Linked DNA regions of Danio rerio. The protein of the gene in region 2 interacts with the protein of the main gene of each other region in a pairwise test. Links are inferred from orthologs where the notes say so. Each region holds a gene or a part of one and is shown on either strand. Other genes may lie near its edges.

Evidence for each region. The genes of interacting proteins can lie anywhere in the genome.
Region 1: the proteins of rbbp8 (region 2) and rbl1 interact in a two-hybrid assay, tested with the Homo sapiens proteins (2 studies listed by BioGRID and IntAct). The link is inferred for Danio rerio from reciprocal best matches to the Homo sapiens genes RBBP8 and RBL1.

Annotation. Positions count from the first base shown.
Region 1 is NC_133181.1:54,211,217-54,219,308, forward strand, and holds part of rbl1 (retinoblastoma-like protein 1), read right to left. Parts: intron 6,117-8,092; coding exon 5,988-6,116; intron 5,729-5,987; coding exon 5,583-5,728; intron 3,716-5,582; coding exon 3,651-3,715; intron 3,561-3,650; coding exon 3,374-3,560; intron 1,954-3,373; coding exon 1,787-1,953; intron 1,423-1,786; coding exon 1,310-1,422; intron 1,224-1,309; coding exon 1,120-1,223; intron 891-1,119; coding exon 753-890; intron 1-752. UniProt on the Homo sapiens protein: Key regulator of entry into cell division. Directly involved in heterochromatin formation by maintaining overall chromatin structure and, in particular, that of constitutive heterochromatin by stabilizing histone methylation.
Region 2 is NC_133199.1:39,942,871-39,951,523, reverse strand, and holds the start of rbbp8 (DNA endonuclease RBBP8), read right to left. Parts: upstream 5,281-8,653; 5' UTR 5,219-5,280; exon of another isoform or gene 5,076-5,218; 5' UTR 5,044-5,075; coding exon 4,935-5,043; intron 3,792-4,934; coding exon 3,749-3,791; intron 3,527-3,748; coding exon 3,431-3,526; intron 3,343-3,430; coding exon 3,230-3,342; intron 1,190-3,229; coding exon 1,117-1,189; intron 1,026-1,116; coding exon 871-1,025; intron 1-870. UniProt on the Homo sapiens protein: Endonuclease that cooperates with the MRE11-RAD50-NBN (MRN) complex in DNA-end resection, the first step of double-strand break (DSB) repair through the homologous recombination (HR) pathway.

The sequences.
Region 1 (8,092 bases), on a different chromosome or scaffold from region 2:
ACCAAATTTTTTTTTTTATCGATACTGACAAAGACCTTCGGTCATTAAATATTGACATCTATTATATATATTTATATATATATATATATATATATATATATATATATATATATATATATATATATATATATATATATATATATATATATATATATAATTCCTGCATAAATAAAAAACTTGTCACATTGCATACACATGAAGCCTCTGTAGCCAAAACAATTTCCTTGTGTGTGTAAGCACACGTTTCAATAAAACCAATTCTGATTCTGATAAGTATAGAAATAATTAATAGTGTGGGCAGATACATTTAAGAAAAAAAAAATAAACAAAGTTTTCTCCCCTTTCAAATGTGTATTCATTTTTGGACATAGTTCCTTACTTTTCCAGCTCAACAAGCTAATGAGACGGTGTCTATATATCATCATCAGCGACAAAAAAAAAAGTGAACAAGATTTTTTTAACAATCAATCATAATGGCATAAAGCCCACCTTCTGAAGATTGATAATACACTCTCTCATTAGCATGTTGAGCTCAGGAAAAGTAAACGTGGAACTACGTTCTAAAAGGAATACACATTTGCAGGAGGGAGGATCAACTCAGTTTAGCATTTTCTTATTCCCCTAACAAAAGTGCAATTTAATTATTTATCTGCCCGCACTATTAATTCTTTATATATTTACGCATACAGGAATTTGTGGATTTATGTATTGTTTTTGCAGGTTTAATCCTCCATACTGACAATGTTCTGTACCTTGTAAAAGTAGAAAGGTGGGATCTGAAAGATTTCCAGTATCCAGGGGAAAGTTCTTTGCGAGCTGTATGAGAACAGCACCACCTCCAGACAGCAGGCCAAAAGAGAGCAATGGAGCACCTCCTGCTCCAACAGGACCTGATTGAGAAAAAGACGTAAGAGAGGAAGAGCTTACAATCTTGCACCAAAGCAGACAGCGAGAGCTTTAAAATAAGACATTACTGCAAGGCATGTTGTTCCATATAACCGATTCCTCTTTGAATAAAGAAAAAAAAAAAAAAAGCAGAAGTGGAAAAGCTACATTTACAAACACATTTATCACATGCATCAAGCATATATCAAATATAATATTAATAATGTGACTTACTGCCCAGTCTTTGCCTTGTAATCTCTTCATCTCTTGAGTCATTACATTCTCCAGGATCTTAAAGTACAAGATCTCGGCCAGCTTCAGACGTTTCTCTGCAAAGTCTACACACAAGAGCCTGCACTTATTTACATGATCACACATAATGCTTTCATAATGACCAATCATTTTAGACGGCAGTAAATCTGACCCATATGTGCTCCCGGCAGGTCATCTGTGGGATTAGTGTAGGCCTGTTTGAACTTTTCCCCCAAGGTTTTCACCCGATTCAGAATGGATTCAGTGGGGTTTCGAGAACAGGAACTATTTGAACAGAAAATGAAGAATGGTTAAATAGACGTAAAGGTTTATTATTGTGAATTGTGGGGATATTCCATAGGTTTCTATTGTTTTTATACTGTACAAACTGTATTTGAGATGGCACTTCCCCAACCCCACGCTTTACAAAAAAAATGTGCAGTTTTACTTTCTGAAAAAGCTCATTCTGTATGATTTCTAAACCTTTTGAAAAATGTAAACATCAGCAATGTCCTCATAATTCACAGTCTCCTGTGTCATAATACACATTTGTGTCCACATCTGACACAAAAACAAGTTTAAAAAAAGGAATGCAAGAAAACCAAATCTAAAACTATAAGTGCATGTTTTGGTTTTAGCAAACACTTACATAAATATCTGAAGCAGAGCGTCGCTCGGTGCGTTTCGGAGACCAGACACCATGCTTTGCAGTCGACTCACACTTTGGGTGGCTGAAGAAACAGGCGTGACCAGCACTTCCTTCTCCTTTAAATACCGTCGACCCGTTAGAGGAGTAGAGGGAGCAAGGGAACGCGTCTGCACACAAACAGGAAGAAGATGCAAATATATATATATATATATATATATATATATATAGTAGGGGTGTAATGAGGTCCCATATCACGTGGTATCACAAGATTAAATCCCGTTAAGATTTCTCGTAGAGGTGTTAAGTTGTCTCGTGAGTTATGTTATGATGGAGCGTGAGGGTGAAATTAGCATTGAAGATTGGAGGCAGGTTTGGATATGAACCGCAATTCAAGTGCTTTGCACACACCTGGCAACCAGGGCTGCCTCGATGTTGCGTGTCACTCATTTGCTTGGGCGGGTGTGACGTAACCTTTTTTTTTTTTTTCCATCGAAGGTTGCGGTCTGAGCAGAGGCTACAGCTGACATGTTAAGCCGTAAAGTATTCCTATTTCAGTCACATTACTGCTGTGCAGTACAGACATGTCAACACCTTGATTAAACTATTACCATCGTGTAGGACTTTTAGCTGCATTTTGCAACAGAATAAGCCATGCATACACAGCTGTTTAACTCTAACTTTAAATTCTCTAACTTTAAATGAACTTTAACATTAATTCCCTCCATCTACTGAGTCACTAAAGGACCAGACACACACATCTCTGTGCGCACACACAAACGGGGAACTCCTAGAGGCTTGTCGCATCATCAGCGAACACAGCTTTATACTGTCCGGGAAAAGAAGTTATCTTTTCATTCATGCGGTATCAAGTCACTTTAAAACAACTCTCTCCTATCAGTACTTAATTTATAATTGTATCCAGTAGTTCTGAGCTTGTCATGGGTATTGAGGCTTCCAGATTGAATGAATAAATAAATGAATGAAAAACATGGTTTTGCGCTAAAGCAACCCAGGGTGCTGAAATATATTTGGCTAAACTGGCATTGGGCGGGATAAATGAACAAAACAAAGACAGACAATCCTGCACGTAACTCACAATTTTAAAGTAGAATATCTGAATTCATTGTTTTTCAGATAAACAATTATGTTCACTTAGCATGTTTCTTAAATACCTGCAAACATATTATGGTATTTTTATGCTTTAGAAAAGTCAAAAACTTACATACAGCACCTTTAAAAAGCACCTAAATAGTCATGTATAAAAAGACTACTCTCCATTCAAATATTAGCAACATATTTTGCAGTGTTGGCATGTCCTTTACTGCACAGAAGTCATTAAAATAACATTCATTACAAGTTGATTTAAAAAAGCACCTATATGGTTTTGCATTTTGTGATTTTTTTTCAGTTGAATAAAAGACTATTTTCCATTCATATATTTTATCATTCAAGATTTCTTTAAAATACTGCCAAAATCTTGTTTTGTTCTCTTGAAACCAATCTTGTCTCCTGGAGTAAGCATCTCATCACACCCCTAATAAATACTGTAATTACAGTGACTGTTAATCTAACTACTTTTCTTCATACCTTCTCAAAGTGCTGCTGAAGGTTGTTCTCCACCTGCATGCGGGCAGAGAGATGACCTGAAGGAGGTTCAGCGGTGGATTTGCGCGGTGTGCCGATCTCCTCGTCTGCATCAGCCCCCAAAAACACTCGCTCATCAAAATCCCCCACAGTCAAAACAAACTCCTCATAATCACGATTTATGGCTTTACTGAAAAGACAAAAATGTTTTCAAAAGCATTTAATTGCATACAACGTTTTGCATGGAAAAGCAATGTGTTCAGAAATTGAATGTGCGTACTTGTTATCTTGGAAATTTGGAGTGTCCAGTAATTCAGTCAGAGTTTCAACATCACCTTTTAACATCTGGGAATATAAGGAGGTAAAACAAAAGCTATAAATATAGAATTAGGCCTGCACAATTAGACATTTCTAAAACGAAATCACTATATAAAAAAATAAAAATTTCAAATCCCAAAAGCAGTGTTTATTTCAATGCACTAATAAATAAGAAACATAAAATTTTTGACAGTTCTGACAGTTGGTAAGCACATTACCCTGAACAATGTAAAAAAGTAACATAATCTAGAAGTGCAGCTTTTCTTGTTGACCCTTTGGTTTAGAATTCATGTTCTTTGCAGTTTAAAAGGCAAAAACATTTGCTGTCGTTGTTATATAGGTTGTCCACAGTAATGTAGGTTATCGCTAGGTCCACACGAAATCTGCACATGCAGAAATCTGCAGATTTCCGCAGATTTTTTAGCCCATCATTCAGTCAATTCATAGTGTAAATGTAAGTAAATTAAGTTTAAAAACTAAATAAACATTCATTTCATTAATATTATTGACTAACATGAAAATGTTCATATAATTTAGTTACAAAACAGTTTGTAAAGTTATATTTTGTGTATTTAGTATACTATATGAGCGACTTTCTGTTTAACAAATAAGTGGATCATATTGGATTTGCATTGTAAACATTAAATAAAAGTTAAAAGGTATATACATATACATATATATATATATATATATATATATATATATATATATATATATATAGAGAGAGAGAGAGCTGAAATTAGAATTATTAGCCCCCCTGAAATTTTAGTCCCCATTTATTTTTCACCAAATTTTGGAGAGATTTTTTTTCAAAACATTTTAAAACAAAAAAGTTTTAACTCATTTCCAATAACTGATTTATTTTATCTTTGCAATGATGACAGTACATAAATTTCCTTTCCTCTATCGCTATTAAAGGGATACTTGTTAACCCTGACACGAGTGTGTCTGTAGAGTGACTTTCCACAACGGCATTTATCACAGATCAGCTATGATATCTGAATATATTACGTGCACGACTCTTACCGCGCATTTATAATTCAATTAATTATATTAAAAAAAAAAAAATATATATATATATATATATATATATATATATATATATATATGGGCTGCACGATGGCGCTATGGGTAGCATGATCACCTCACAGAAAGAAGGTTGCTGAGTCTCAGCTAGGTCAGCTGGCGTTTCTGTGTGGAGTTTGCATGTTCTCCCATTGATCGCGTAGGTTTCCTCCGGGTGCTCCGGTTTCCACCACAGTCCAAAGACATGCGCTATAGGTAAATTGGGATAAAAATTGTCCGCAGAGTATGTGTGTATGGATGTTTCCCAGTAATGGGTTGCAGTTGGAAGGGCATCCGCTGCGTAAAACATATGCCGGATAAGTTGGCAGTTCATTCCTCTGTATAAAAGGAATAAAAGGACTTTGAAAATGAAAAAAAAAATATATATATTATTTTTTTTATGTTTTTTTTAATGTTTTTAGTTATGATACTCTCAAAATAATTCTGCATAAATCCACAAATTTTTTTACAAAGTTCTCAGCAGAAATAGCCAAAAAACATCAACAAATTCTGTCTGGCCCTAGTTATCACCAGTGTTTTAATGATGTACAATTGTTTACATTGTTTAAATTCTTTAAAGTTTAAAATTTTATATTTAATTTATTTAATTTAGGATACTGTAGTTTTTTTTTTAATTATGTTTAGTATTTCTGTGGCTCTGCTAAAACCACCACATTAAACTGTAGTTCTTTTATGAAACAGAAGTAATCGCAAATCGTCATTTTGAAAAGAAAAACTGTAATTAAATTTTTTTTCTACAAAGCATGCAGTCATATATGGAATTGTGCTGTTTTTGTTTTGGGTGTCAAAGTGCGTATATATTCCTCACTCTTTTCTCAAACAGGGTCTTTATGTAGGGCTTGAAGTAGTGCTCCTTTATGCCTTTGGCCTCCACCACCAACCCATCATGCAGTTCACACAACTTGTCAATGACACAGGGCATCTCTTTCAGGTTTTCTGTGTCTTTCGGCAGGCCTACAGAAAGGTGAAAAACAGATGTTCAGTGAAGTGTTTACCTGTTTTTTCAGACACAAAGCAAACACAATGCAATATTACGGTGAGGGAAAGACACTAAATTCAGAATCGCTGAAGAGTGTAAATCAAAACAACACAGGCATGCTTTAAAACACTCAAATATATTTAATGCAATCAATGGATTCACTTGTAATTTTGTCTGTCTTCTCAATCAGTCAAGCAAACATATTTTCTGAGATGAATAAAAGGTGACCTTTACCTCTGAAATTCTGATTGATGAGATCTTTCCTGTTGGAGCACATGAGAGCGTTGCAAAACACCAGGTCCAGACAGCAGAGGAGGAGGTGATAGGAGTTGACCAAATCATCTCCGATCATGTGGAAATTACCTGAAATAAAGCAGAATTCATGTCATGAGATCAGCTGGAACTATAAGTCAGAGATTTTTAGCAAAAGCAGTCAAAATTAGACATATATCTACAAATAGTATTCATATACTAGCAATAAAAGTATAGAATAAATAAGACTAAATTGTAAAAATTGTTAGGGTGTATGACTGCATTTGTTAAATGAAAATTCACCCATAAAAGTCTTGATTCAAATACAGTTATAGCAAAAATCTAATTACTACAAGATCAGTTTCAAATCACTATTTCTTTTCCATATTTTTATGTTTTTTTTAAGACAGAAGACATTTAAGAGTATTTAGCTGAATTTAATTTTACCTGACAGAATTTTTTTTGCTGGATTCATAGTGTTACGTGTATGTTATATGCCATCTGCTGCAAAGACATGACTCACTTTCATTCACTTTCTTACAATCCCTCCATACCTCTTGAAAAACATTGTGCATTTCTAAAGTGTGCTTGACAAACCACTTGTGGAAACACTCTTCTCTCTATATGCATATTACACTTTACTTAATCTTAGAAGGTCTTAATAAGGAAAACAATGTTTACTTGTGAATGTACCACACAATCAAGTTTCACTACTTGATTTTCTCAACATTAAAATACCCCGTATGAACAGTATCTTGCACAACAGTATTCCGTCTTACGCAAAAGTACTTGTATAGTCAGTCTTAGGTTGTGTGTATAGTCTAAGTATTCATAATATATGTACAGTTAGAGTACCGCTCCGGTGTGTTAGTTACGTAGAGACTTAATATTGCTCTTACTTCCAGTGTTATGTCTATATTTATGATTATGCTTATTCACCGTGGTCCTGCGATACACAACTTCATCCCACTGTATGTTCAAACATGTAACAGAATAACAATAAACCTCAAATTGAGTTGATTTGTAGGACAGATATTTTACTTTATAAATGCATTGGTTTGTTACAGAAGGCCTTTATTTAGTGGGCACTTTTTTATTATGGATGTTTTATTATGGACTTTTAATCATTGGACTTTTAACCAGTTAAACTCTGCTGTTATTTTGGGATTTCCGCCTGGATTTTGCCTACCCAAATTTAAAAGCTTTCCAAATCCACATGCAGAGGTGTAAATGCAAAAATTTGGTATCATTTAAAAATAAAAACTTTGAATTTTCATAAAACACTATTGAAAGTTTTTAAAATATCTGTATATGTTGTCTGTGTTATAATAAACAAAAAAAAAAGGTGCTTTTTGTATTTTTTTTAATAAACTCAAATTTGAAATTGTACCTTTTAGGTTCTGTGTGGTCTAGCGTGCTGTAATTAATTTTGGTGGTTCCTGCACATGTCTGTAATCATAGGGAAAAAGAAAAACGTCTCCACCATAATCTATGCAAAAGTTATTTTATTCCAACTGATGAGAGGTGCTGTACAAGCCACAGGGATTGATCATTATTTTCATATTTCACTATTCTTTTGTTTGATCAAACATAATTCGCTGTGTTTGGACCACATCAGATGCATGTACATCACCTCAAAAACAGAGGAGAATGACCCTGAAGAGCACAGGATAAGGTAAGAGATGACAGCTATCTGTGCTATCTGGGGCTGCTTAGTGATCATAAATGTATTGTTTTCACTTCTGCGCCATGGAAACAACACGATTCATTCAACAACTGTTTGATATGTGAATATAATTCAGTAAAAAGAATGCTAGAACCATATGAGCACCGGCAAGAGCTTTTATTTGAGCTATAGCTTGTACATGTGTCATATAAAAAATATGAAAATGAACCAATGTAAAATACCCAGCTCGGGTATCCAAAATACTGTGTATTTAAGTGTAAATAACTTTTGTACAGTAGAATAAAAACCAAAGTAATGCATATGTGCATAAAATTTAGATTCTACACTTTCAAACGAAATCACTTACGGGGGTCTGGTGCAAGGCTAGCCCTTTAAATCTTAAAGCAAAAGTCGATGACGT
Region 2 (8,653 bases):
TAGGGTAGTGTGGATGGAATGCGTAGCAAAACTTATGCGATTTAAAACTAAAATTTCTTAGTGTGAACAGGGCCTTGGGTTCCTGGGCAACACCATCTCTCAGGATCTGAAGTGGGACATTCACATAGACTCTATCGTGAAGAAAGCCCAGCATAGACTGTACTTCCTTTGTCAGTTGAGGAAGTTAAACCTGGCACAGGAGCTGCTTGTGCAGTTCTATTCAGCTGTCATCCAATCCATCCTCTGCACTTCAATCACCGTCTGGTTCAGCTCAGCTGCCAAAACCGACCTCCGTAGACTACAGTGAATAGTCCGGACTGCTGAACGAATCACTGGCACTACCCTTCAAGAACTGTACTCTTCCAGAGTGAGTAAAAGGGCTCGCAAAATCACTCTGGACGCCTCGCACCCAGCACACTTCCTGTTTGAACAGTTACCGTCTGGTCGGCACTTCAGAGCACCAAGAACAAAAACAGCCAGACACAGGAAAAGTTTCTTTCCTCAGGCCATCTACTGCATGAACAGTTAAATATAACCCAACTGTGCAATAAATATGTGCAATACTTTCTCATACGCACTTGTACACAGCCCCTTATATCAATATACAATGCAATAATTTCTACATTCGCATTTGCACACAGCACCTTATGTTATAACCTGTATATTTATAACAAATCTGTACATACAACTCAACATCCAGATTTCTGGACTAACTGCATCTCCGTTTAATGTTTATCATCTTTTTTTCCTCATATTTATTTTGTGTTGTCACTTTATGTACACTGGAAGCTTCTTGTGTTATTCCTTGTGTGTGTGAAGCACACTTGGCAATAAAACTGATTCTGATTAAACTTCTCTGGAGTGACTAACCGGGGTGTGAGAGTGATAGCGGTGTCTCAGTGTATCGGACGTGGTTCTGCTCTTTCCGGCGTTTCATCTTGCTGGCAACGGGTAAAGACAGCGGCCGGAGAGGAGAGTCTGGGATCATTCCCTCCTCAGCCTCAGAGGACGTGTTCTGTGGAGAACTAAACACACACTCAAAACAGACGGTCATATGATGATGAATGTCACCAGTGCTCAGTATTTCATCATGTTTTCTTCAACTCTGAGACTCACCCAGACCTCCTGAGTCGCTCCAGTTCAAGACTCAGTCTCCTGTTTTCATCTGTCAGAGTTTTCCTCTCAGCCTCTAAACACACACATTGAAGAAGATTTTTGGGTTGATACTGATAGGCTGGATGAGACGAGAGCTGCACTGGTATGGAATTTTTGACCTGATAACTGATAACGTAAATTTGATTTGAAACAGATAGCCAATATATTATTAACAAAAATAGCAGACAAATAATATCTATATCCATAATTGTTATGCATGATTGCAAAAACAAAAATCAAACACTTACAGAGAACAACTGATTTTATTTTAAAACTTTAACTTCAGAACAGTAACATTTACAACAAGGCAAAACCAGCAAAAATAAAGCATAAAAACAGCACAAATAAAAACCTAATTTTGTTATTAGACCAATCGAGATAACATTAAAATCAGGTTTGCTGATATTGATATGGCCACCGATGTATCATCCAACCCTAGTAGATACAGATGAGTTTCAGACAACTTAAAGTAAAAACTATTTATATCCATTTTTTTAACACTCAATTCTTACAAAATTCCATCTAAATTACAAATTCCAAATGCACAATTTCCAAAAGACATTATATATATATATATATATATATATATATATATATATATATATATATATATATTTTTTTTTTTTTTTTTTTTTTTGAATGTAACTATTTTTGGGACAAAATTATTAGCCTCTTTAAGCTATTTTTTTTCGATAGTCTACAGAACAAACCATCGTTATACAATAACTTGCCTAATTACCCTAACCTGCCTAGTTAACCTAATTAACCTAGTTAAGCCTTTAAATGTCACTTTAAGCTGTATAAAAGTGTCTTAAAAAATATCTAGTCAAATAATATTTACTGTCATCATGGCAAAAATAAAATAAATCAGTTATTAGAAATAGGTTTTTTAAAACTATTATGCTTAGAAATGTGCTGAAACAATCTTCCCTCCATTAAACAGAAATAGGGGAAAAAAATAAACAGGGGCGCTAATAATTCAGGGGGGCTAATAATTCTGACTTACATACACATACACATTTCTTATGAATTATTTATGATTTTATTTATAAATTTTGACCTCGACTGTTTATTTTTTCCCCAATTTTTGTTTAACAGAGAGAAGATTTTTTTCAACACATTTCTAAACAGAATAGTTTTAATAACTTATTTCTAATAACAGATTTCTTGTATCTTTGCCATGATGACAGTAAATAATAATTTACTAGATATTTTTCAAGACACTTCTATACAGCTTAGAGTGACATTTAAAGGCTTAACTTGGTTAATTAGGTTAACTAGGCAGGTTAGGGTAATAAAGCAAGTAATTGTATAACGATGGTTTATACAATCAAAAAGAAATACAGCTTAAAGGGGCTAATAAAATTGACCATAAAATGCTTTTTTAAAAATTAAAAACTGCTTTTATTGTAGTCGAAATAAAACAAATAAGACTTTCTCTAGAGGAAAAAATATTATCAGACATACTGTGAAAATTTCCTTATATATATAAAGTTTTGTATGGCTTCTTTAATTTTTCTTGTTAATTATAATTTATTAAAAATTTTCTAATTAACATATATATAGGGGTGTATTAATGCTTGCAGCATCATAATAGCTAGTTATGTTTTTTTTAATAATTTCCACTCTTAAAAATAATTACAACTAGCCAAACAAAAACGAAAAAACATTTATTTTATATGGCCTCCTTCATTTTTTTATTTATTGCAATTTATTTCAGATTTTTTGTAACATTCATTGGAGTCTAGTTCATTTTGAACTATAAATTGCAAATTATGTTGTTCGAATGGTTTCAGTTCTCCCTTTGTATTGACTTATCTCACAATAAACCAATAAATGATATTTGATCAAATATCTTACTGTTTAAGATCTCGCTGAAAGTATTATTTTAAAAGCAAGATGAATATTTTTCAGCGATCAATCTGTTAGAGTGCATTTATCTAAGCTGGACACAGTAAATAAGTTCAAACCTCTGAAACTAAACCATCATCTATTTACATTAAAGACAGCACAGTCCAATAAAATATGCTTTAATAACACCACTGAAAAAGAAATAGTCACCAAAAATACTCACCAAGCTCAGAGATGACAGACAGATTTCTCTGATTATTATCTTCAAGCTCAGTGTTTGTCTTTTTAATCTGCTTCTCTTTCACAGTGCAGCGATCGCATGGTCCAGAACGCAACCTAAAAAAATAACACAGTGACTAAAACTGAGCTCCGAATTCAGGATAAATGCATAAAAAACATGATCAATAGGTTTGCTTGTGAGCACCTGTCCTCCAGCTGTCTGATCTTCTCCTGCTGGATCTTCTGTTGCTCTCGTAAATGTTGATTCTTGCTGTGAAATTCACTCAATTTCTGAGCATCTCTGAGAAAAGAGACACAATATTATTATTATTAATAATAATAATAATACAGTCAAATAGGATATGTGGCATTACAGATTACAGATTAAAAAAGGTTTTTCAAAATAGCTTAAGCATGTTTAATGATCATCACAAATATTTATTCATGCTTTAATGACTCTCAAACTGATTTATATACATTTTTAAATATATTTGCATGTACACTGTATACGACGTGGACTTACAGACAGCGCTCTTTCTTCAGTTTAGCTATTTTTGCTTGTAATTCTGAAAATGAGAAACATGTATGTTGTCAGAGAAAAGAAAAATATTTTAATAAGTTATTTGACAATCTATTTTTATTATAAAAGTTATCAAATCAGAAAAACAGAATCCACAATACAGTTTTTCTCAGTCGATCAACAGTAACTGCATTTCTCAAAACATTTTGTCATTTGTGCACATCATAGCAGCAGTTTCTTATTCCGTCTAACAAATTGCAAATGCTTTCTGACGTGTATCAATTGCTTTTATACAACTCTCTGCTGTTTATAACATTATCATTTGTTTATGTCATGTCAGTTCAAATTAACTGAACTTGTGAATGCTGAATAGTCACTCCATATAAAACTAATAGTCCTCTTTTATTACTTATTACTCTTTTATTCTTTACATACAAAAATGTTAAACTAGCTGTCCAAATCTCTCAAGCAAATTTTATAAAATCTTTTTTTTTTCTGAAAATTTCTTGTAAATTGAATGATTTGATGAATTATTTAAAGACCTCTATGTTGTAGGTTCAGTTCCAATATGTTCTGCAATATTGTTTACAGGTGTGCACAGCTCTACCCAAAGGGAGATTAGGTTTGTTGTAAATTTGTGTGTATTTATTCTTCAGCGCAACGATGTGAATAAATTAAAATTGCAAGATTATGCAGTAAAAATGTAAAACACACATATTCAGTGTCTTGTACTCAGATACCTCAATAAATGCAGAGATGTCTAACTTTACTGTAGTTTTCAAATGGCTGTGCAAATAGTGTATAGTTCTGTCCAAAGCATTTTCAGCAAATGTCACCAAAATCTGACTTTATTGCATTGGATGTAATGTAAAGAGTGAACTGTCATAAAGAAGACAAAGCCATTTGACTATCTTGTTCATAAACAATGTTGTGGTAATTGTGTATATTGTCTTTAAGTGATATTTACAAGTGGTTTCAGACCGAATAGTCAAATACCATGGTAAACAATATAGAGAGATTGTCTATATTGAGAGAATATAAAACCAACTTTACCTCAATTAAGTAGGCTAACAATAATTACCTATATTTCAAAGTAATTGCTTAAATTACATTTTTAGCATACAAGTAATGTAATTAACTAAGTAACTAGTTGTTATGTAATTATTTATACTCCACTCAGGTTATTTACCTTGCAGTGCGGTGTCGTGCAGGTCTCGGACAGCGGTCAGCAGCTCCTGCAGTTTCTCCCTGTGGTCTGAGGATGAAGCAGGACTCAGATCTGCTGGAGTGATGCTCATCTTCACTCTGTTTCACTGTAAATCCTTCACAACTCCAGCATTTACACAAATACATTTAAAAAAAACTCTCCACTTACACCTGACAAATTCCCTCCTGAATGTTTACACAAACGTATATCCGCGTATAAGACTAAAATAATAGGCATTTAAACATGGAAACGCGCGTTCAATATACCTTCAATAATTGGGGTTGTAAATATTCTGATTGCCCGCTTCTTCTTTTTCTTTTTCTTCTTTGGTTGTTAATGGCTGTAGGCAACTGAACTTTGCCGCCACCGACTGGAATGGAGTAATGGAACTGGGCGTGCAGTGGCGTGGGTTCCGGGTGCTCCGGTTTCCCCCACAGTTCACAGTCACACACATATAGGTGAGTTGAATAAACTAAATTGGCCGTGTAAATGTGAGTGTGCATGGGTGTTTCCCTGTGATGGGTTGCAACTGGAAGGACTTCCGCTGTGTTAAACATATGCTGGAATAGTTGGCGGTTCCCCTGATAAATAAAGGGAATAGGCTGAGCTGAAGGAAAATTAATGGATGAATTGTTTTTGTTTGCCAACTATGATTTCTTAGTTTTATTTCAGTTAATCAAAATGCTTTTTGACCAATGTTTTTTGTTTTAGTCTAAGTTTACGTTTTCGTTTGCTAAAATAACCTTGGAGAGTAAGGAAACTGCGTGTGTGTGTGTGTGTGTGTGTTTGTGCGCGTGTTTGTGTGTGTGTGTGTGTGTGAGAGAGAGAGAGAAAGAGAAAGAAAGGAGAGAGAGAGAGAGAGATATTCGGACAAACGTGTATAATGACATGGGTATGACACGGGTATTACAAAGAGACTGTGAATTATGAGGACATTGCTAATGTCAATTTTTTCAATTCAGAATAGGGTTGGGGCAATAGAAAATACAGCTTGTATAGTGTAAACAATAATAGTTACTTGACCAATGGAAAACAATAGAATAATATCAAATGTTCCCACAATTCACAAAAGCTAACCCTGTGTCTGTGTGTAGTGGCAGGAAAGTTTGTGATTTCATTCATTCGCTCATTTTCTTTTTGACTTTCCTTTTAGTCCCTTTATTAATTTGGGGTCACCACAGTGGCATGAACTCCCAACTTATCCAGCATGTGTTTCACGCAGCGGATGCCCTTCCAGCCGCAACCCATCTCTGGAAAACATCCATTCACACTCATACACTACGGACATTTTAGCCTACCCAATTCACCTATACAGCATGTCTTTGGACTGTTGGGGAAACCAGAGTGCCCTGAGATAACCCACGTGAACGCAGGGAGAACATGCAAACTCCACACTGAAACACCAACTGACCCAGCCGAGGCTCGAACCAGCAGCCTTCTTGCTGTGAGGTGACAGCATTACCTACTGCGCCACCGTGTCACGTTTTTGTGAACTCTTTAGAATAAAATATTTTTCTGCTGCAATTCATCATAAAATTTGAGTCACAATGACAGACAAACATACTGTGCATACATTTATCAAGCAAACAATTCTAGTTTCTTGTGTCTTTGTTGATCACAAAATATTAAAGAGTGACTGACTGACTGACTGACTGACCGATCAACTGACCCACCTTCCCTATACTCAACCAATAGTGTTTTCAAAAGCAGCAACTGACCAGCCCAACACCTTCCCTAAACCCAACTTGCAGTGTTTTAAAAAGCAATCCAGAAAAAAAAGCCCTCGTCAAATTTTTACTGCATTTTCAGATTTTTCCACATTCTTTACATGTTTATTTAATTTTTTTGGCTTCTGTTTTTGTCTTCAGGAACCATTCTTTGCTGGATTCAAACTCCATCATCATGGTCAACTCCTCTCTGCATCTCAAGTCCATCGACGAATGCGTCAAGCTACTGGGCAAACTGGTAACAGCAGAAAAGGCTGTATGCGATCAGCTGCTTAGCAAGAACGTTGTCACACCACCCCGTAGCATTTGTTTTAAAGACAAAATGTAGCCATATGTGTATCTGACCGTCGACTGTCATGGTAAAAAACAACTACATTTTGACCAAAAAAGTTTTTGAGCCCATATGACCAAATTACTGACCCAATAACTTTGAAGCATGAATGAAACGTTTTGGGTGAGTACAGGGCCGGCTCATCTATAGAGGCTACCTAGGCAGCCGCGACACCTCCCTCACCACCTGCGTCCTAAGTTATATCCGCGAACAGCCACCCCCTCCTCAACTTGCTACCTTTTCACTTTTGTTTTCACTTTCAGATTGTGGGTAGCGTGATCGTCAGATAATATTCATACATGTAAATCTTGAAATGACTTAACAAAATATCCATATAATATTATACAATAAAATATAACATAATAACATCTAAAACACTCAAATATTTCTATAGTAGAACTACATGACACCGTCGGCATCAATACATTGTGTACCGTGCGTTGACGTAGCCTATCGCTGTTTTTGTTATAAATAAGCACACACATACACACAGACACACACACACATATATACATTGTTTTATATATATATATAGTTTCCCAGAGATGCGTTGCGGCTGGAAGGGCATCCGCTGCATAAAAACGTGCTGGATAAGTTGGCGGTTTATTTCGCTGTGGTCACCCCGGATTAATAAAGTAACTAAGCCGAAAAGAAAATGAATATATATATATATATATATATATATATATATATATATATATATATATATATATATATATATATATATATATATATATATGGGTAATTTCTGGCATTTGGTAATATTTCAGCTTGAACAAACTCATTTTTATAAGTCTGTTGATTATATTTTAAATAGCCTACATAATTAGGCACAATTTAAACTTTCAAAAATTTCCCTCAGGCATTACAGCTTTCATATTATTTTCAGTTTTATTCTTATTTGGACACCTATAATTCTCAACCCCATTACGGACAAAACTGAGTTGTTAATAATAGTATTTTACAAAGCTTTTGCTATCAAACCAAAATTTACCTATTGCTCATATGTCCCTCAAATCACTGTAATGACTAAAACATAATATTTTTGATAAGTTTTAGATTTATATGTGATTTAACTTACAACTATACAATTTATGAATTCTGTGGTCTCTTAATTTTTCTAAAAATCTTTTATATTTAGATGTCTTACCCAAACCACATATTTACAGTGTTAGGCCTTTACATGGTGGTTGGTACTCAGCAAGAATGTTTTCCATATTTAATTGTTTTCCTTATTTTATTTTCCAAAAAATATTAATTTCACAGGGTTGAGAATACAATGAAGGGGTTGAAGACCATATCAGGGTTGAGGGGACACTTTAATTTTAGTTTTAATTTGTTTTAATTATTTGAAATTACATCTAAGACTTAACCAAAACACTTATTTATTTTAGCAAAATATTTAGCAATGGCTTAACACTAAGATGAAATTAAACTTTATTAAACCAAACTACAGTCAGAATTTAAAAAAGGAAACTGCTGAAGGTAAATGGACCATTAGTAACCTTTAAAAATACTGATAAAGGCCTATGATAACAAATATATTGCTGAACAGAACCTACAGTAAACAGGAGCAACAGGTAAAAACTGCAGCAGAAAAATTCTTAATGAAATTGCTGATGAAAATTTTTAATAATAAAAAT